Callithrix jacchus: one gene and its partner. Each later gene encodes a partner of the first gene's protein in a complex. Links are inferred from orthologs where the notes say so. Each region holds a gene or a part of one and is shown in the gene's direction. Other genes may lie near its edges. The genes, in order: RIMS2 and UNC13A.

What was found.
Region 2: the proteins of RIMS2 (region 1) and UNC13A are in contact, whole or in part, in a crystal structure (PDB 2CJS), measured with the Rattus norvegicus proteins. The link is inferred for Callithrix jacchus from reciprocal best matches to the Homo sapiens genes RIMS2 and UNC13A. Residues at the interface, in XP_063118965.1 of Rattus norvegicus: Asp102, Gly103, Cys104, Ser109, Gln112, Val123, Leu125, Ser127, Asn128, Lys129, Val134, Met135, Trp136; in NP_074052.2 of Rattus norvegicus: Tyr23, Ile36, Trp65, Leu69, Ile70, Trp71, Asp72, Thr73, Met74.

The regions. Positions count from the first base shown.
Region 1 is NC_133517.1:93,419,091-93,430,425, reverse strand, and holds the start of RIMS2 (regulating synaptic membrane exocytosis protein 2), read left to right. Parts: upstream 1-5,640; 5' UTR 5,641-5,790; coding exon 5,791-5,966; intron 5,967-6,714; exon of another isoform or gene 6,715-6,827; intron 6,828-11,335. UniProt on the Homo sapiens protein: Rab effector involved in exocytosis. May act as scaffold protein. Plays a role in dendrite formation by melanocytes.
Region 2 is NC_133523.1:16,370,042-16,380,617, reverse strand, and holds part of UNC13A (protein unc-13 homolog A), read left to right. Parts: intron 1-2,561; coding exon 2,562-2,640; intron 2,641-3,163; coding exon 3,164-3,235; intron 3,236-3,405; coding exon 3,406-3,625; intron 3,626-4,731; coding exon 4,732-4,959; intron 4,960-6,113; coding exon 6,114-6,255; intron 6,256-6,381; coding exon 6,382-6,551; intron 6,552-8,705; coding exon 8,706-8,821; intron 8,822-10,501; coding exon 10,502-10,576. UniProt on the Homo sapiens protein: Plays a role in vesicle maturation during exocytosis as a target of the diacylglycerol second messenger pathway.

The DNA.
Region 1 (11,335 bases):
GACCAGTATAATAATATCAAATCCTCTTCCCAGAAATTCATTGAACAAATATTTGCTGGAATACCTACCATGTGCCATGTATTGTTCTAAGTGTTTGGGATACATTAATAAAATTCATACTCTGCTCTTGTGCTTATATTCAAGTATGAGGAAGTAGATGATAAATATAATAAATGGGTATATATTTAACTTTGTGTAAAAATACAGTTGTCAGAGAGAGTGGTAAGTGCTGTGGGAAAAAGAAAAAGTAGGGTAAGGTAAAGAAGATCATCATAATGACCAGGAAGGGTGTGGGGCAAGTAGGAGTATTAAATAGGATGAACAATTGGGCAAAAATTTGAGGACAAGGGATTTAACCAAGTGAGTATCTTAGTGAAGGGTACTCTAGGCACAGGGAACCGCTCGAGGAAAGCCTAAAAAGTACTAGGAGATGGGGCCAGGTGCGGTGGCTCACACCTATGATCCCAGCACTTTGGGAGGCTGAGGCGGGTGGATCACAAACTCAGGAGTTCTTGAACTCCAGCCTGGGCAACACAGTGAAACCTTATCTCTACTAAAAATACAAAAATTAGCTGGGCGTGGTGGCAGGTGTCTGTATCCCAGCTACTCGGGAGGCTGAGGCAGAGAATTGTTTGAACCTGAGAGGCGGAGGTTGCAGTGAGCCGAGATCACACCATTGCAATCTAGCCTGGGTGACAGAACAAAACTCTGTCTTGAGAAAACACACACAAAAACAAACAAACAAAATAAGTACTAGGAGATGAGGTCAGTGATCATGTGGGACTTGTAAGCCATTTAAGGAACTCTTGTGAATAAAATGGGGAGCCACCTTGGGATTTTGATCAGCAGAGTGTTTTGATCTAATGTTTTAGGAGGTTTTCTCTTTGTGCAGTGTTGAGACTATAGAGCTGCAAGCATAGAAGCAGGGAGACCTGTTATGAGAAACTATAGAAATGCCAACCATCTAAATATATTTGCGTGCAGTAAGGGGTGCTGCAATGATTCTGAGCGTTGTGAAACAACCAGTTTTGTAGCGGAGTACTAGGTTCTTTCAGTAAATTCTAGTGAGGTAAGTATTTTAGTTTGTGACTTTAGATATACCTCCTAATACTTATTTACTAGATTACAAGTAGCCCTTATGCATATGTAAAAATGAAAGTCCACAGACTCATAGGCTTCAAGGGCCTATAGGAACTGCAGAAAGGACTTGCGTTTTTTTTGTTTGCTTTTTATTTTATTTTTTGAGACGGAGTCTTGCTCTGTCACCTAGGGTGGAGTGCAGTGGCCTGATCTCCACACACTGCAACCTCTGCCTCCCAGGCTCAAGCGATTCTCCTGCCTCAACCTCCCAAGTGACTGAGATTACAGGCATCTGTCACCAGGCCTGGCTAATTTTTTGTATTTTAGTAGAGACGGTATTTCACCATGTTGGTCAGGCTGGTCTCAAACTACCGACCTCAGGTGATTCACCTGCCTTGGACTCCCAAAGTGCTGGGATTGCAGATGTGAGCCACTGTGCTGGCCAGCCTATTTTTTAAGACAGGGTCTCACCCTGTCACTCAGGCTGATGTGCAGTGGAGCAATCATAGCTCACTGTATCCTTGAACTCCTGGGCTCAAGAGATCCTTTTGCCTTGGCCTTCCAGAGTACTGGGATTACTGGTGTAAACCACAGGGCCTGGCCAGGACATGTATTTTGGGATTAGTTTATAGCCTGTCAAGACCTTGAAAATTCAATGATGAAGACAGCTGTTACTTATAAAGTTAAACGAGAATATTGCAGTTTTGACTCAACTTTAAATGTGTTCATACACTGAGGGACATGCCAAAGTAGAAGATAATGCTGTAAAAGACAAAGTCATATGTGATGAAGATTTTAAGTAAAACACTGTACCAGAACAAACAAAACACCTCTAAGATCCGTATTGTAGAAAGAACAAAAGACAGAGATCTTGTGAATACATTTTCTTTCTTTAGTTCTGATCCTAGCAATCTTGTCAAACTGGGGCAAGTACTTTGAAAAGTAGTTCATTTATTATGCTAAAGCCAATTTTAAAATTCTATATAATGTATATTCTATGTAGTGATATATAAATACTGTGACAAATTTTTATTTCATCCAAGTGTGTGAATAACAGTGAAAGATAATTTTAAAAGACTTCCACTCCTAAGTAGTCCCTTTAATAGGAAAAACACATCTAGTTGTAGTAAAAACTGTGAAAAGGAAACACAGTAACAGTAACCCCACTCACTTCTGCTTCATTTCAGTAAGAAGTCAGATGTTCCAGTGATACTGGCTCATGCCCATTGTATTTCATAAGCTGGCACTGTCTCCTGGCAGGTGAGGCATGGGTGGGGGTGCAGGGAGACACAGCCTCAGGCACTCAGCATGCTAACCATATGACTGCTAGAAAACAGTGCAGGACCCAGGGGGTGACCCTTTACTGTAAAGGAAGCCAAAATTGTCTAATTTGTACCACAACTTTGAAGTTCACATTTTATAGACTTAAAATAACTAAGCTATTTTAACTTCAAAAAGTTTAAACCTCTGAGCAGTGTGTATATTCTGGCTTCTGGTTCTGCTTGGGTTGATAGTTGGCTGGGGGTGGGAAGCGGTGTTTGTTTTTTCAAATCTGGCATAGAAATAGTTGAATAAGGTAGACTGTTCCAGCCATTCCTTTCGATTATTTTTAGTTCTGCTCTCCTCTCTTTTAAAGGAGCAGTTAGTGTATTTTAGCAGCACTTAGGGTTTCCTAGGTGAAAGTCAAAGATACATGTATTTACTGGTACCTGTCACTGCGTAGTGAAAATATGGATAGTAAAAGTCAATTTCAATTTCCGGTAAAAATATTCTGTTATCCAAAGGGTTGTTTTTAGTTGTCACTTTTTTTTTCTTAGTTTGACACTTTTTTTCCTTCTCCATTATCTATTTTGTGATGCAAATAGTATAGTTCTCAATATTTGCTATACCTTAGTCACTTGGGGAACTTTCAAACAATATCCACAGCCAGGACCCTAACACCAGAGTCTGATTCTTTTGTTACGTGATATTTTAAAAAAGTGACCCAGTGAATCTTCAACTCAGATGACTGGCAAAAAAAAAAAAAAAAAGTAATCCAGGTAATTTTAGTGTGCAGCTAAGGTTGAAAACTGGCATGGTTTCAAAGTGGATTAAAAATATCTAGGTTCTAGTTCCAGCCCTGCTACTTACCAGCTAGCTGTTCTTGGTGGTCTTCTGTTTCCCATAGGATGATGAGGTTGGATTAGAAATTCAGAAAAATTGTTGAACTCTAAAACAAAATTAAATAAACTGGGATTCATATAATTTGATCTGATTTGCTAAGCTCCAAAGAGATGAAAATGGAATTATCTGGAGTGTTGTTTGAAACAAGTGAGTAATAATTTAAAAAACAGCTCTTAAGTAAACTTTTCCCTCTTCCCAATTACAAGGCATGGGAGAAAATAAAAATAGACATTTAAGCTTAGAAATCACAGGAGACTTCCAGGGCTGCTTTGCCTATCCCCAGCTCTCTTAAATGGGGAGCTAGTCAGATGGTGCCTGGGGAACAGAGGGAGGAGGGAGAGCGCTTACTACACACCAAGAAGGTAAATATAATATAAACCTCAAAGGCTTTACGTTACTCATCAGCACACAATCTGACGTGGTACTAAGCAGCGTGCGCGTGTGGAAGGCTGGGTGGGGTGCGCACACACGTTCACCTGGGTACACACACACTGGCACACACACCCCAACTCAGTCACCGGCAGTGCTTGCCCAGGGCGCCCGGAAGAGCCAGCGAGGCTGCCTAGCACCGTCCACCCGGACCCGTGCCCCCCGCCCCGCCCCGTTCCCTCCGGGAGGGCTCTCAGGGCGCCGCCCAGCCCCGCGAAGCGCAAAGGACGGCAGTGGCCACCTCCGTTCTCCAGACGCTGGTTTCTTGTCTTCCCTTGTCCTCTTTCATTGAACCTATCTCCGTGCTACGAAAATCAGACTCTGACTCTAACCCAATCTCGTCGCGTCTCTGCCTCTTCTTTCTAGACTAGCGTGAGCGCTAAAAAGGGCCAGGCAGACAGAAACTTTGGCCTCAGTACCGGCCCAGCCCCTCTCTCGGGACCATTCTAAGTCCTTTCACCTTCCTAGCCTTTACCGGTCGCGTCCGGTTCGCACCCTCCCAGCCAACCCTAACTCTCCCCGTCTCTCCCCGCGTCCTCCCCTCAGGATCCCTCTGCACGTTCTCGTCCGTCAAGCTCGGGTTTTTCCACAACTTCCTCAAGCCCTGCGCCCCTCGACACCACCAGCGTCTGCCACTCGCTGCAACCTCTCTGCCCCGCTGTTACTCCTGGAGGGCCTCCAGCTCTCTCCCCCTTTCCTGGCTCCCACCCCTGACACCCTGGGGACCCTTCTTCCCTACTCACCTCCTCCCTCCTTCCAGGATCCCGCCCCGACACTTCGGGGGCCCTCCAGCCACGCTCGCTCCCTCTTTCTCCTTAGGGCCTGACACCTGGGCGACCCCTCCCGGCACCCGCCTTCAGCTCCAGCCCTGACTCCACCCTCACGCTCCCCGCCCCTCCCGGTCCTTTGGGGGCCCTCACCTCCCCACCAGCCACACCTGGCACCCCAGACCCCACCCCGACTCATACCCTTCTCTCCGCTCCCGACACCTCAGGCGTCCCTCACACGCACGCATTCTCCACACTTCAATCCCCGAACACTCAGTCTCCCCTCCCTCCCCGCCTGGCCGGGGCCCCAGCCCGGAGGTCGCGCTCAGGGAGGGGCGGCTGCCGCCTGCGGGGTGCCCCGGCCTAGGCGGCGAGGAGGTGACGCGGCCCCGCGGGAAGAGCCCGGGAGGCGGAGGGGCGGAGGAGGTGAGCGCGGCGGCGCAGGGAGCGCGGGCCCTCCGCGCCGACTCCCTGGACCCAAGGGGCGGCGGCGGCGGCGGCGGCCGAGCGACCCTGGGCTGGCGCGTGATGAGGAGGGGCTGGCGCCCGGCCCCGCTGCACGTCGGAGCTGCTCGCCTGGATCCGGGCGTTGGCACCCGATGGGCCCTGGCCCCGGGACTCTCCGCCGCTAGCCCCCGTCATTCCTTCTCCGCTTTTGCTTCTCTACTTTAGCTGGCGGGGTGGGGTTGGGGTCTCCGGCCCCACGGCCCCCTTCCGGGCGTGCCTGGAGGAGTCCTCCCTCCGTGGCGCGCGGGAGCCCTGTGACGCGTCAGCCGGCGGGAAGGCTGAGCCCCCGCTTCCTCACTACCCTCTCCGCTCCCGCCTGGGTGCCTCTCGGGCCGGCGGTACTTTGGAGGCTCGCAGCGACTCCCCGGGGGGCTGGTTCGCAGGCACCCTTCCCCTCCGAGGCGGCGCGCGCGCTCCCGACCCCCACCGCGGCCGGACACACTCGCGCCCCGGTCCGTAGTCGCCCTCCCGCCTGCTCCCTCTAGTCACCCCACCCCGAGCCGTCCCCGCCACCTTACTCCACCGCCCTCCCCCACCGCTCCGCTCACTCCGCGTCCCGGCCTCCCGCTCCCCTCTCCTTTGAACCGCTCACTTCACAGTCCTTCCGCCCCCGGGAAGAAGAAACATTTCCCGAAGCGCACTCCTGAGCCCTCCCTCCCCACGCGCTCGCCCTCCCCTCCCCCTGCTCTTTCTTGGGGGAGGGGGGCTGTCGCCTTGGATTGAAGGCCATTGATTTGTATGTATTTGTCCCAGCGCTGGAGGCTGCCCCAGCCGCCGCGCCGGTGTCGCCGCTGCCACCGGAGTTGCCTCACCGCTTCCCTAGGGCGGTTCGGCTCCACCAAACATGTCGGCTCCTGTCGGGCCCCGGGGCCGCCTGGCTCCCACCCCGGCGGCCTCTCAGCCGCCTCTGCAGCCCGAGATGCCTGACCTCAGCCACCTCACGGAGGAGGAGAGGAAAATCATCCTGGCCGTCATGGACAGACAGAAGAAAGAAGAGGAGAAGGAGCAGTCCGTGCTCAAGTAAGGATCTGACTCCATGTTCCCGCCTCTCTCCCTGCCCTCCGCCCCCTCGGCCGCTGCCCTGCGGCCGCCTGCGCGCCGGGGATCGCCGCCCTCCCTCCCGCCCGCGGCGCCCGGGCCACGAGGGCTGCGGCCAGCGCCGGCCGCCCCGGCTGTTTGCTGGGTGTCTGAGAGCGGGGGGTGTGTGTCGGGGAGGGAGGGAACCGAGGCCGGCTGAGGTGAGGGTGGCGGGCCGTAGGGCGGTGTGATTTTCCCCGGCGCCTTTTCGGATTTCCCCGCTGGTCAGCTTGGCTCCGGGGCCCCAGCGGGACCGGGGCCGAACCCGGGCACTGCGCGTCCGCTCTCCTTTCCCGCCGCCTGAGCGCGGAGGCATTGACTGGGGCACGGAATCCAATATGGCCGTGCACAGGTGCTCCCTGGCCGGACCCGGGCGAAGGCGCTCCGGCCGGGGATGCGGACGCCGCCGGGGACCCGTGGTTCCGTCTCCGCGGAGCCGCTCTGCCAGCAACGCGGGACAGAGCAGGGCTGCCCGCGGTGGTTGCGGGCAGCGGGCGGCGGCGTGGGCGAGGGGCCTAAGCTCTGTCGCGTCTCGGGTGGGTGTGCGGCCGCCGCCATCTTCCAGCCCCTCCCCCTTGGCAAGCGCTAACACCCTGCACTCTGCTGCTCTTCCTGTTTGCAACTAGTAAATCTGTTTAATCCTGAAGAGACTCCAGTTCCTACCATCCCTGCGGTTTGGGATGCTGCCTACCTTGTGAAGTTCTACTCTCCGTGCTCACAGTCTTGGCAGCCCGGTTTTCCCCCGAGGGTGGGAGGAGTGAAAACAGCACCCAGGCATCCGTTTACTGGCTCTGGAACTTCAGCACCAGGGAACTGTCCAGACAGGGCTATCTTTAGCTCCGAGACTCCTTTTCTGGTTAGTCTAGCAAAGATAGTGGTTTCTGCAGGACTTGCTTTTAAATGTTTTGTGGTTATTTGATGTGTCAGTTAGTTTGTGAAAGAGGTTGTTCAGAAGGCGTGTAACCTTTTTTATGTTTTCCCAGATGGCTTTTTTCTTTTTACTTGAAATGAGTTACTCACTGAGAGATTAACTTACAGTGTATATACCAAAGGTGGGATGTTCTTTTGCGTCTTGTCAAGTATATGTTTCCCGTATTCTCCACAGACACATACAAGTGAAAGTGTGGAGTTCCTCTATGAAGGAACTAATACACTCACCTCTACTCAGGTAAAATTTAAAAACATGTTGTTGAATTTAGTATTCTTTCATGTACTTACAAAGGAACAAGTTTCGTTGTCAATAGGTATATATTTTCATATTTTAATGAAAAATCCTACTTTAAATAATTTATGGTAACAAACATCAAATATTCATAAATCTAAAGATACTATTTCTCACAAAATATTGAGGGACTAAAACAGCAAATATGTTCCTGACATAACTGAAATTAATAGTTTCTACGTGAAAGTTAATTTCTGGGGTTGAATACTAATTTGGGAATGTTATTTATTAACAGCCTTGGGATGTAAAGAAATTAAGAGACTTAAGCAGTTTACTCCAACTAATAGAAGAATAAAGCATTATTTTTAGAAGCTTTTTTGGGCATACTTCTTACTTTGCTTAACTTTATTTTGTATACTAACAATATCAAGCTTTTGATGACTTGCACTTTGATATTTAAATATATGAACTTATGCCTTTTAGTATAATTGAAAAAAATAAGTGTCTCCAAAATGATGCTCCAATAAAATGTAGTTTTATTTCTTTGACTTACATATTTAATATAAAATGTGTTTTTATTTCTTCATAGTATGCTAAACCTTAGTGTTTATTGGCTAGTTCACTGTAGTTCTATTTATTGTTTAATATAGAAATATAAGTGGACTTTTAAGTATTGAATTAGGATTATTCAAAATCAACAGTATATTAAGAAGAAGATGTAATAGGGTTTTTCAGGTAGCTACATGTATAATATCTATATGTAAACCTACATACTATTCAAATACATATAATATTTACATATTCATATTTCCATAGGTTAGATAGAAACAAATGTTCTCTAAGTACATTTTTCATACAATCTATAAAATTACATTGATGAAAAATATATATATAGATTTATTTGAAATATTTATTTGCATTGCTACCTAACTTAGTCTTAGAAAGGTGTCTTATCTCAAAATGGCTTTCATGGTCTCAGAATTCTTGTTATATTTATTTTAACAAAAAGTTATTTGGAGGTTAAAGCATAATATATTTATTTGGAGATTTAGTTCTAAATGTTCTTAATTTTTTTAATGAAAGAGTAGGCAAGGAAAATGAAATGAATAGACTTTATAATAGAATTATTGTAATGAGAGACAAATTATTTTTAAGAATTTGACAGTTTGTTAAATAACATATTATCAATATTGGGTATTAAATAACAAATATATAAGAAAAATAATACTAACCTTCTTCAATGATTACTGTTTCCCATGAAGTTTTGGGGCCCACTTATTTGGTCATTACTATCCTTTGTTTCTTTTTAGTGCTGCTCATTACGTTGGGTGTTAACATGTATTCTAAGAGTAGAGAGAAAAAGAAACTGAAATTTAAATGCATGTCTGCTGCCTTTTAACAATTATGTTAAAAAATGTTTGATGTGTGAAGATACTGCAATGGTTAGATAAAAATATTTTTGCATGATCTATGAGTTTCAATTTTCATGTTAAGTATTCAGACAAAGTGGAGAAAAGAATGAATCTGAACCTTGTTAATATTTAATATATAGATGGACAATACTTAGATGCATATAATTTATAAGTAAATATGCATGTATTAAAAGATTAATGCTTGAGATATTTTTAATAAGACAGTGAGTATTTAAAACTGAGACTATTATTGTAATCTCTCACCTTAGGAGCTTGAATAATTAAAAATTATACATAATTATTAGTAATTTAATCAAAGTCCAGCTGAACATCCATATAGGAAATGCATCATCATCAAATAATACCGTTTTACATATGAGCGAGTTACTATAATTTTGCAAGCATTTAAAAATCTTAGTAGATCCCTGATCAGTAATTACTTTAAAAAAATCCTTTCATGTATTCCTGTAGCAGTTTTAGTTTGGCTAATTCAGTCCATCAGTAAAATTTATAATGTCTTTTTACTGATTAATGTTTTTTTTCAATCTTCCAAGACATCTGAATAATGTTCTTAAGTCTTGTCTTTCAAGATTGTAAACTTCTTGAGGGCAAGAATCAAAATTTACCCTTTTTTTTAGTTTGTATTTTGCAACATCCTTAACACCTTCACATAATAGATACTTAATAAATTATGTTTATTTGAATTGTGGTAATATTAAGGAGGTAGCTTATCAATTTTGTGGGACAATGAAGAACCATTGTTTGAAATAAATACGTAACTTTTAAAAGTTGAATTTCCAGTGGGATTTTTTGTGTAATTGTGAAAAAATGTATGAGGAAAGCAAACCCATTAAATCAATAGAAAAGTATTCATTCAGTAAATATTGTTTCTAATATGTGCATATCATAGTCTTTCAGATTACACAAATTAGAAATTATGTGTTTCTTAATGTGTATATTTTCTTTTCACTGGCAGTTTAGATTTTCTGTTAAAGAGTTAATTTGCTCCCGAAATAAAGGAGGAAGGCAATAAGTAAAAATTTTCCTGCTAGATTAGGGTAATGATTAGTATATATTTAACATACAAGTGAGCAGTTCTACATTTTAAAAAAATTTCAATTTTAAAAGTAGTTTCCAAAGTTAATTTATAAAATTTTGAAATAAAATTTTTTTTCTTTCTTTCCTTTCTTTCCTTCCTTCTTCTTTCTTTTCTTCTCTTCTCTTCTCTTTTCTTTCTTTCTTTCTTTCTTTCTTTCTTTCCTTCTTTCCTTCTCTCTTTCTTTCTCTCTCTTTCTTTCTTTCTTTCTTTCTTTCTTTCTTTCTTTCTTTCTTTCTTTCTTTCTTTCTTCTTTTCTTTCTTTTCTTTCTTTCTTTCATTTTTGTTGCTCTGAGGTCCAGGCTGAAGTGGAGTGGCGCAGTAACAGCTCACTGCAGCCACGACCTCCTGGGGCTCAAGCAATTCTCTCACCCCAGCCTCTGGAGTTACTGGCACTACAAACAGGTGTCATGACACCCGACTAATTTATTTTTTATTTTTGTAGAGATGAGGTCTCCCTAAACCCAGCCTGGTCTTGAACTCTTGGGTTCAAATGATCCTCTTGCCTTGGCCTCTCAAAGTGTTTGGATTACAGGTGTGAGCCACCCCCCAAATTTCTTAGCTACCTTTTTCCCCCACCCAAAGCCAACTAGTATTACCAGTATTTTATATTGTATACTCTTTCAGTGACAGTCTATGCATAAGAATAAATACATGTATATATATAATATTGTGTGTGTCTGTATATGTGTGTATGTGTGTGCACATACATGTATGTACAGATGGATGTAAAGATAAAAACACAAATGTGACTTGCAGTTGGCTTTTTGGGAGATCAGTTCCACATCTGTGACTGTATAGCTGCCTCATTAATTTTAATGGATATAGGATACATACTATCCCTTTTAATGAATATTCCGTAGTTTCTTTAGTACCATATTTGTGGGTATTTAAGTTTTTTTCTAAGTATTTTGTCATTAGAAATTTTTAGTATTTACCACAGTATTATCTGTGAAAAATATCTTTGTACATACATTTTCTATTTGTATGAATGTATATTTGAGACAGATTCCTAGAAACAAAGTTGTTGGGTCAAAGGGTTAATATATTTTAAATTTAATAAATATCGCAAAATTTACTTTTGTAGAGGGTGTATGTATAAGTGACATGTACTAAGGGGACTTTCTCACATCCTTGCCAACTCAGTGTGTGGTAATTTTTACCGATATTTCAATGAAAAAGGTGCCACTGTAGGCTTATTTGCAATTTTCTTGTCAAAGAGTTTGAGAGCCTTTTTTAAAAAAAAAATTTGGTTAGAGCCATTTGTATTCCCTTTTCTGTTACTGACTTTCAGTGATTTGTAGAGGCTCTTTCACATGTTATTTGTTTTAGGACCTTGTTTATGCCTATTTTACTGGTCGGCATTAAAAAATATATTTGAATTTATTATATTTTTGTTTTATGGAGTTTGGGTTTGTGATCTTCTTAGAATGACCTTCCCTATTCTAATACTTTTAAAAACTACCAATTGAATCATGAATACTTTTAAATAAAAATTGCATATGCAAACCACTCTTGCCATTGCCAAAAAAATTAAAAACTGTAGTTTTTAATGATTCAAAATACATTCTAAAAAATTGATTAACATAAGAAAACAAGCAAACAAAAATTGAACTAATTATATTGTGTGATGAAGAAAGAG
Region 2 (10,576 bases), on another chromosome or scaffold:
CTGTAATCCCAGCTACTTGGGTTGCTGAAGCAGGAGAATTGCATGAACCCGGGAGGCAGAGGTTGCAGTGAGCCGAGATTGCACCACTGCACGCCAGCCTGGGCAACAGCGAGGGACACTGTCTCAAAAATGAACAAATAAATATATAAAGCAGACACTGTTAGGAACTAGACATTATTGGGAAATATACACTATATATTTGTAATCCCAGAGCAAAGTTTTTTGCTTTGAGTCTATTTTTAAATCTCTTCAATTATTGCTACGGTGGGGACTCTTAAAGTCTTCAATGGGGCATGTGGTCACATCTAACTTCTTATGTTACAGATTTTCAGGTTAGAGGATGCACAGGATATTTTTAAAATATGCTCAGGTTTTAAAATAGCAGCACGATAGTGACCTTCCTTGTACACCCTTTGCAAACAGGCAGGGAGACAGCAGCTGGCACTCCTAAATGAGCAGGTGCCCTAGCTAGAGAGCCTGGGGTGCAGGGCCTGAAATGGGGATTGCTGTGCATGTGATTTATGAAGGATATTTCTCTCAGGAGAAAGCTGTCAGACTAAGGGAGACCGCCGAGAAAAGATGTGGCTTAGGCGTCTCTAAGCTCAGTCGGCTCCTGCAGAAAGCTTGGTAGCATGAATGGCCCTGTGGGCTTGTCTGGAGTCATTGGCTGCAGGCACCTATCTCATTAGCCAGTGAAAACCTTTTGGAACCGAGTGTGGTGGTTCATGTCTGTAATCCCAGCACTTTGGGAAGCTGAGGCAGGTGGATCACCTGAGGTCAGGAGTTTGAGACCAGCTTGCCCAACATAGAGAAACCCCGTCTCTACTACAAATACAAAAATTAGCTGGGTGTGGTGGTGCATGCTTATAATCCCAGCTACTTGGGAGGGTGAGGCTGGAGAATCGCTTGAGACTAGGAGTTCAAGACCAGCTTTGGCAACATAGTGAGACCCCCATCTCTTAAAAAAAAAAAATTTTTTTTTTGAGATGGAATTTTGCTCTTGTTGCCCAGGCTGGAGTGCAACGGTGCGATCTTCGCTCACGGCAACCTCCACCTCCTGGGTTCAAGCGATTCTCCTGCCTCAGCCTCCCAAGTAGCTGGGATTACAAGCATGCACCGCCACACCCAGCTAATTTTTGTATTTTTAGTAGAGACAGGGTTTCCCCATGTTGGTCAGGTTGGTCCTGAACTCCCGACCTCAGGTGATCTGCCTGCCTCTGCCTCCCAAAGTGCTGGGATTACAGGCATGAGCCATTGTACCCAGCCCAGATTTTTTTTTTTATTAGCTGGGTGTGGGCCAGGTGCAGTAGTTCATGCCTGTAATCCCGGCACTTTGGGAGGCCAATGTGGGTGGATCACCTGAGGTTGTGGGTGGATCATCTGAGGTTAGGAGTTCAAGACCAGCCTGGCCAACATGGTGAAAGCCCGTCTCCACTAAAAATACAAAAATTAGCCCAGTGCGGTGGCGTGTGACAGTAATCCCAGCTACCTGGGAGGCTGAGGCACAAGAATCGCTTGAACTCAGGAGGTTGCAGTGAGCTGAGATCGAAGGACTGCACTCCAGCCTGGGCAACAGAGCGAGACTCTGTCTCGGAAAAAAAAAAAGGTTTCGTTTATATTTTAGTATATAATTTAGGTTTGTCTTAACTTACATTTCATTCAAGTGGGCAACTACGTTATGTCCCCATTTTTCAGATGAGGAAATCGAGGCTCTCCATTTCTTTTTTTTTTTGAGGCGGAGTTTCGCTCTTGTTACCCAGGCTGGAGTGCAATGGCGCGATCTCGGCTCACCGCAACCTCCGCCTCCTGGGTTCAGGCAATTCTCCTGCCTCAGCCTCCCGAGTAGCTGGGATTACAGGCAGGCACCACCATTCCCAGCTAATTTTTTGTATTTTTAGTAGAGACGGGGTTTCACCTTGTTGACCAGGATGGTCTCGATCTCTTGACCTCGTGATCCACCCGCCTCAGCCTCCCAAAGTGCTGGGATTCCAGGCGTGAGCCACCGCGCCCGGCCCTGGGGTCTCCATTTCTTAGAACTGCTATCACGAAGTACCACAGACGGGTGGCTTAAAACCACAACAGTGTTTTGTCTCGCAATTCTGGAGGCCAGAAGTCTGAAATGAAGGCGCTGGTTGGGCCACGATCCCTCTGGAATCTGTAGAAGACAATTCCTCCCCTGCCTCTTGTAGCTTCTGGTGTTTGCTTGAAATCCTTGGCCACCAAGAAGATACTTGTTTGTAGATCGTCACTCTCTGCCTCTGTTGCCACGAAGCCACCTTCTTTCCATCCCTCTCTTCTAAGGACACCAGTCATATTAGATGAAGCATCTCCCCTAGCCCCATATGACCTTATCTTAACTAATTACATCTGTGACAACCCCATTTCCAAATAAGGTCACTTTCTGAGGTAGTAAGGGTTAAGGAATCAATGTATCTTTTTTTGTGGGACCCAATTCAACCCCTTAACACCTGGGGAGGTTGAGTGTTCTCCCCACGGCTCAGGTGATGTCTGTGTGAGGAATAGGGACAGCTGGGCCCTCAATGTCCCTCTATGTCTTGCAGCCCAGGGGGCGGTCTCATCATCATCGACAGCATGCCTGACATCCGCAAGAGGAAACCTATCCCGCTCGTGAGTGACCTGGTAAGCACCCGCCCACTTTACTCCCCTAGCAGAGCAGGCCTGCTATAAGCAGTGTGCAACCTGTGCAACTGCCCATGGTCAACCTGGGGTTGGGGACTAGCTAGGCATTCTCTGAGACTAATGTAGTCTGATTTCTACCCCCATGTGCTGCGTGGACACTTCAGGCCATGGTGAGTGATGGTGACATGGGCTCCCTGGGGTCTTCTCCCCAAACTGCCCCACTGGGATCTTGTAACAGGCCCCCACTTCATGGTTTCTGGGGGAACCTTGCCTTGTCCCTCTGTGTTGGAGGCTGTGAGTCGGGGTGTGGGGCTGCTCACTTTCCAGGGTCCCTTCTAACTCAAAGCCTCCATCATCTCCTAATTCTTTACTGGGTCTGGCCCGGATGCTGTCGGTGACCTGTTTCCAATTTGCGGTTGCGGCTCCAAAATATGGCTTCGGGCCCCATGTGTGGCTGTGAACCTTCCCGGTGGTGATCTCATGGATGTCAACCCCCCGACTCCCTCTTCTGTGACCTCCCTAGTCCCTGGTCCAGTCCAGGAAAGCGGGCATCACCTCGGCCTTGGCCTCCAGCACGTTGAACAACGAGGAGCTGGTACGTGGGGCACCTCTTTTTCCCCGGGGTCAGGGATGAACTGGGCTGGGAGCTTCTGGAAGTGTCTAAACCTCTGTGGGTCCGCGGGAAGAGGAGGCAGGGAGGGGAGGGGAGCAAGACAGGGACAGCACGAGGTTAGGGCCCCGAACCGCACCCCTCCCTCCCTGCAGAAAAACCACGTTTACAAGAAGACCCTGCAAGCCTTAATCTATCCCATCTCATGCACGACGCCGCACAACTTCGAGGTGTGGACGGCCACCACGCCCACCTACTGCTACGAGTGCGAGGGGCTGCTGTGGGGCATCGCGAGGCAGGGCATGCGCTGCACCGAGTGCGGCGTCAAGTGCCACGAGAAGTGCCAGGACCTGCTCAACGCCGACTGCCTGCAGCGTAAGCGCAGGGCCCGAGCGCAGGGCTGCGGGTTGGCGTGGGAAGCGCCGGGGCTTGCAGCTTGCATTGGAAGAAAGCCTGAAGGAGCAAGGCCATGGGTGGGGCACCATGGGGCGGGGCAGGGGCGGGGAGTCGTGGGGCAAGGGAGGGACCCGCTGAAGGGGAGGGGTGGGGCTGAAGGGACAAAACTCCCTGGGGAAAGGGCTAGGGCGTCGAGGGATGGGGTAAGAAGCTGCGAGGGTGTCAGAGAGGGATGGGGGAGAGCTCAGGGACTAGCTAGGTGGTGCAAAGGACAGGCTTAGTGAGAAGAGGCGGCTCCCCTGGATAAAAATGGGTTAGCTAGGGGTAGCTCTGAGAGGAAGAGGGGCTCAGAGAAGGAAGGGGCTCAGAGTGAGAGAGGACTGTGGAGGAGGGAGTTGGAAGGCGGAGGGGTCTCAGAGAAGGGGGGCTCGGAGATGTGCAGGGGACTCACAGGAGTGGAGATCAGAGATGGGGAGGGGATTCAGAGGAGTGGGGCTCGGAGAGGTGGGATTCAGAGGAGGTGGGGACTCGGGGTGGGGCCCAGAGGGGGTGGGGCCCAGAGGGGGTGGGGACTCAGAGAGGGGGCGGGTACTCAGAGGGGTAGGGCCCAGAGAGGGGGTGGAGACTCAGGGGGTGGGGCTCAGAGAGGTGGGATTCAGAGGGGGCGGGGACTCAAAGGGGTAGGGCCCAGAGAGGGGGTGGAGACTCGGAGGGGTGGGGTTCAGAGAGGGGGCGGGGATCAGGGGTGGGGCTCAGATGGGGCGTGGACTCAAAGGGGTGGGGCTCAGAGAGGGGACGGGGACTTAGAGGGGTGCGGCTTAGGGGTGCCAAAAACCTGTGGGGATTCCAAGGGGCGGAAGGCAGAGAAGGGCAAGACTCAGGGACATGGGGGCTCAGAGGAGCGTGGCCTGAGAGGAGTCGGAAAGGCTAAGGGTCTGGATGGGTGGTACAGAGAGCAGGTAGGAAACCGGCTTCAGGGGTGACACCGGAGCCCCCGCGGTTGATGTATGGGGCGGGGCCCTCGCCCTGGTGAGGGGCCACAGGGCAGGCGCACTGGGGTCAGTGCCGGCCTCTGGCGTCCTCAGGGGCCGCGGAGAAGAGCTCCAAGCACGGGGCGGAGGACCGGACGCAGAACATCATCATGGTGCTCAAGGACCGCATGAAGATCCGGGAGCGCAACAAACCCGAGATCTTCGAGCTCATCCAGGAGATCTTCGCGGTGACCAAGACCGCGCACACGCAGCAGATGAAGGCGGTCAAGCAGAGCGTGCTGGACGGCACATCCAAGTGGTCCGCCAAGATCAGCATCACTGGTGAGGGGGCGGGGGCCGCCACAGGGCCCCTCCTTCTCCACCCGCTGAGGCCTGTCCCTCTCCTTTGCAGCAGGTCCTCGATCTCATCCATTCCATCCCATGTCCGTGTGTGCACGCATATGGGGGGACATGCGTACCTCCAAATGCCTGTTCATGGGACTGTATCCGGGTGTGTCTTGAATGGTGCCCTCCAGAATGAGACCCAAGAAGAATTGTGGGTGCATAGTTTATCTGGAAAGTGACCCTAGAAAGCCCTGGTGAGGGGCAAGGACTTGAGACAGGGTTGGAAGGTGCCCTGGAGGAGACACCGTGGGGCAGACCATGCTGTAGGCCACCAGCTCAGCCCACCCTGGGGTCATTCATGCAGTTCAGTGTGGCCCCACTCAGGGGTGAGGATACTGGTATTTCTCCACACCCAGACTCATGTGGATTTACCCATAAACAGCTCCGAGGATGAGGATTTCAGGGTATGTGAGTTATCCAGGAAGTGACCCCAGGATGAAGCTGGGGTGGTGAGTCAGGGAGGGAAGGCACCCTGCAGGGGGCGCCAACGAGCAGGAGATCTCGGGGGCAATGGGTTCTTCTGGGGGTCCGACCTCGGGGAGCACACACCTGAAAGAGGTCCCACCCACAGGCAAGCGGGCTGAGGCACCTTCCCATTCTTCATGGGTTGGGTGCTCCCCCCTTGTTAACTCTAGCAAGGCGAGGTGAGGTGGCCCACACCTGTAATCCCAGCGCTTTGGGAGGCTGAGGCGGGCGGATCACCTGAAGTTAGGAGTTCAAGACCAGCCTGGTCAACATGCTGAAACCCCATCTCTACTAAAAATGAAAAAAAAAATTAGTCGGACATGGTGGCACATGCTTGTAATCCCAGCTACTTGGGAGACTGAGGCAGGAGAATCACTGGAACCCAGAAGGCAGAGGTTGCAGTGAGCCAAGTTCAAGGCACTGCACTCCAGCCTGGGTGACAAGAGCAAACTCCATCTCAAAAACAAACTAACAAAAAACCTCGTTAGCAAGTCCAGCATGCCTGCCATTGCTCTCCAGCCATGCTGCAGGTGTCCCTGTTATCAGCCTGCAGCGTGTGGCAGCAACTGTCCCGGCATGCCTCGCTCCTTGAGCTCACGCCTGTGTATGCCCTCTGTGTCTTCCAGTGGTCTGTGCCCAGGGCTTGCAGGCAAAGGACAAGACGGGATCCAGTGACCCCTATGTCACCGTCCAGGTTGGGAAGACCAAGAAACGGACAAAAACCATCTATGGGAACCTCAACCCAGTGTGGGAGGAGAATTTCCACTTGTAAGTGCCTGGCTGGGTCCCTGGGCCCGTGCGGGGCTCCCTGCTGGGACAGCCGAAAGGGGGCTCCAAAGACAGGGCTCACGCTGGGCACCTGACCCCCACCCCTGCCTCCTCCTCCCGCCACAGTGAATGTCACAATTCCTCCGACCGCATCAAGGTGCGCGTCTGGGATGAGGATGATGACATCAAATCCCGTGTGAAACAGAGGTTCAAGAGGGAATCTGACGATTTCCTGGGGCAGACGATCATTGAGGTGCGGACGCTCAGCGGCGAGATGGACGTGTGGTACAACCTGGGTGAGAGAAGCCGGGTTCTGAAAGGGATGGGGATGGGTCCCAGGGATCTAGCCAGAGTGTGGAGCCCATGAAGAGGGGAGAGATGCAATCTCCAGAGAAGTTTGGTCAAGGAGCACGATCTGATGGGGGAGGCAGGGTCTAGGAGCCCAATCTGAGGAGGCAGGAAGCACCCAGGCAGGGAGATTTAGCAGAGCCCAGAAATTTCTTAGCTCAGCTTAGAAAGGAGGGTAGGGACAGAATCTCTGTGTCCCAGTCTAATGGGGGAGGCAGGAAGCAAGACCTGGGAATCCTAGTCTGAGGGAGAGGCACAGACCTGCAAACCAAATCTAAGAAGGAAGATTGAGCTTTAAGAATCCAAGCTGGGGCTGGGTGCAGTGGCTCATACCTATAATCCCAATACTTTGGTAGGCGGAGGTGGGCGGATCACCTGAGGTCAGGTGTTCAAGACCAGCCTGGCCAACGTGGTGAAACCCCATCTCTACTAAAAATACAAAAATTAGCCGGGTATGGTGGTGGGCACCTGTAGTCCCAGCTACTCAGAACGCAAAGGCAGGAGAATCGCTTGTACCTGGGAGGCGGAGGTTGCAGTGAGCCAAGATCACACCACTGCACTCCAACCCCGACAACAAAAGCAAAATTCCATCTCCAGAAAAAAAAAAAAAGGAATCCAGGTTGGGGGCACCAGGCAGTGGCTCACATCTGTGATCCTATCATTTTGAGAGGCTGAGGCAGGCTAATCGAGTCCAGGAGTTCGAGACCAGCCTGGGGAACATAGTGAAACCCTGTCTCTATAAAACAGAAAAATTAGCTGGGCAGGGTGACACACACCTTTAGTCCCAGCTACTCTGGAAGCTAAGGTGTGAGGATCACCTGAGCCTGAGGTAAAGACTGCAGTGAGCTGTGATCGCCCTGCTGCGCTCCAGCCTGGGGAACAGAGTGAGAACCTTTCTCAAAAAAACGAATTCGGCCAGGTGCAGTGGCTCACGCCTGTATTCCCAACACTTTGGGAGGCAGAGGTGGGTGGATCACTTGAGGTCAGAAGTTCGAGACCAGACTGTCCAACATGACGAAACCGTGTCTCTAGTAAAAATACAAAAATTAGCCAGGCGTGGTGGCTTGTGCCTGTAATCCCAGCTATTTAGAAGGCTGAGGCAGGAGAATTGCTTGAACCTGGGAGGCAGAGGTTGTAGTGAGCCAAGATTGCACCACTGCACTGCAGCCTGGTGACAGAGCTAAACTCTATCTCAAAAAAAAAAAAAAAAAAAAAAAAAGGCCAGCATAGTGGCTCACGCCTGTAATCCCAGCACTTTGGGAGGCCAAGGTGGGTGGATCACTTGGTCAGGAGTTCCAAGACCAGACTGGTCAACATGGTGAAACCCCATCTCTACTAAAAAATACAAAAATTAGCTGGGCATGGTGGCTCATGCCTGTAATCCCAGCTACTTGGGAGGCTGAGGTAGGAGAATTGCTTGAACTGGGACCCGGGAGGCAGAGGTTACAGTGAGCCGAGATCACGCCACTGCACTCCAGCCTGGGCTACAGAGCGAGATTCCATCTCGAAAAAAAAGGAAAAAGAAAAAACAAAAAGAAAATGAGTAGAATCTGGGGAGTCCAATCTAATGAGGCAGGGTGTATGAGCCTAATCTGAAGGGGTTGAAAGGACCCAGCCTGAGAGGGTTGAGTAGAGCCCAGAAATCTCTTAGGTTGAAAGAAATCTACATATCCCATTCTGACGGGGAAGGCAGGAGACAAGACTTGGGGGTCCTAGTCAGAGGAGAGAGGCACAGACCCAGGAACCGTGTCTAAGATGTGTAGCTTCTGGGGAGCGTGATTTGATGGGGGAGGCAGGTCCTGGGAGCTCAGACTGGGCAAGAAGCAGGGCCTAGAGCTGCTAGCCTAAGGAGGGAGGCACACACCCAGGAACTTAATCGGAGTGAAGAAGCAAGGTCTGGGATCCTTGTTTGAAGGGAGAAACAGGGCTTAAGGAATTCTAGCCTAAGCAGAGAGACTCAAGCCTGGGAGCCAATCAGAAGAGAAACACCCAGGCCTGAGTTTCCAAAGGTCTGGGAGGACTACGGAATCGTGCATCTATTAAAAATTGCCCACAGCTATAGTGAGAAGTTCTGACTCTGGTCATCCTTTTCTGCCCCGCAGATAAGCGAACTGACAAATCTGCCGTGTCGGGCGCCATCCGGCTCCACATCAGTGTGGAGATCAAAGGCGAGGAGAAGGTGGCCCCGTATCACGTCCAGTATACCTGTCTGCACGAGGTGAGCTTCACTGCTCAGCCCCTCCCATGCCACCTCCACTCACCACTTCTTCCTGCCCTTCCTCTTTCTGGCCACACTATCCACACTCTCTTGGCCCTCTGAGACTGCCTACCCTGCCATTCCCTTTATATCCATCAAGGTCCAGATTTAGGGTCGCCTCCTCTGGGAAGCCCTCCTTGGCCTCCAGGTTGACTCTCAGTACTCACCATCAGATTCTTCCTTCTGTTCCAGCCCTAACTACTCAGGATTGGGCTGTTTGTGTCTGGGTATGTCTCTTCCGGCTGCCTAGGGGTTCCTGGAAAGAACTCTATTCCCAGGATCTAGTTTGTTGAATGAATGCTGGTGAATGAGTGAATGATTGAATAGATGAATGAGTGAGGAGGTAGATGAAAGGATGGATGGAGAGATGGATGAGTTGATGGGTAGATTCGTGACTAGATGAATGATAGATGGACAGATGGATGGATATGTGATTGAACTATTGGAAGTACAGATGCATGGATGGGTGAATTTTGGGGTAATTGGATAGATGATTGATGGATATAGAAGAATGATGGATGGATAACTTGATAGGTGGATAGCTAGAATGGTGGACAGACGATTGAATGGGTAGATAGATGAGTTGTTGGATGAGAACGTTAAGCTGTATTGGATAGGATGGATGGATGTGTGGTTGAATTATTAGAAGGAAGGATGAGTAGATAGGTGAACTTGTTGATAGTTGGGTGGGTAGATAGGTAGATGGATGGATGGGTGGGTGGGTGGATGCATGGAAGGATGTGTGGTTGAATTATTAAAAGTATTGAAAAGTGTTTATAATTTTTGAGTATTTAGATAGATGGATTGTTGTGAGTAGTTGGTGGACAGATGAAGAATAGATGCATAGATGGATGGATGGATAAGTTGATGGGTAGATGGATGGTTGGTTTATGGAAGAATGAATGATTGGACAGGTGGATTAAGTTATGGATCAATGTATGGGATGGATGGATAGATGGATGGATGGTGGATGGATGGATGGATGGATGGATGGATGGATGGATGGATAGGTGGATGGATGGATGGGTGGATGGGTGGATGGGTGGATGGGTGGGTGGGTGGGTGGATGGATGGATGGATAGATGGATGATGAGTGGGTGGATGGAGGGATGGATGGATGGGTGGATGGATGGGTGGATAGATGGATGGATGGATGGGTGGATGGATGGGTGGGTGGGTGATGGGTGGATGGATAGGTGGATGGATGGGTGGATGGATGGGTGGGTGGATGGATGGATGGATGGGTGGATGGATGGGTGGGTGGGTGATGGGTGGATGGATAGGTGGATGGATGGGTGGATGGATGGGTGGGTGGATGGATGGATGGATGGGTGGATGGATAGGTGGATGGATGGGTGGATGGATGGGTGGGTGGATGGATGGATGGATGGGTGGATGGATGGGTGGGTGGGTGGTGGGTGGGTGGATGGATGGATGGTTAAATTACTGAAAGGTTGGAAGAGTGAATGGGTGGAATGTGGGGTAGTTGTATGGATGGGTGTGTGGATGGATGAGAGTAGATGACTGAATTAATGAGTAAACAAGCAGGCATATGATGTAAGCTGCCCCAGACCCTAGGACCTCTGACCCCTGGCGACCCTTGCACTCTCCATGATGATGCCTTATCCCCCATGGTGGCAGAACCTCTTCCACTTCGTGACGGATGTGCAGAACAATGGGGTCGTGAAGATCCCGGATGCCAAGGGCGACGACGCC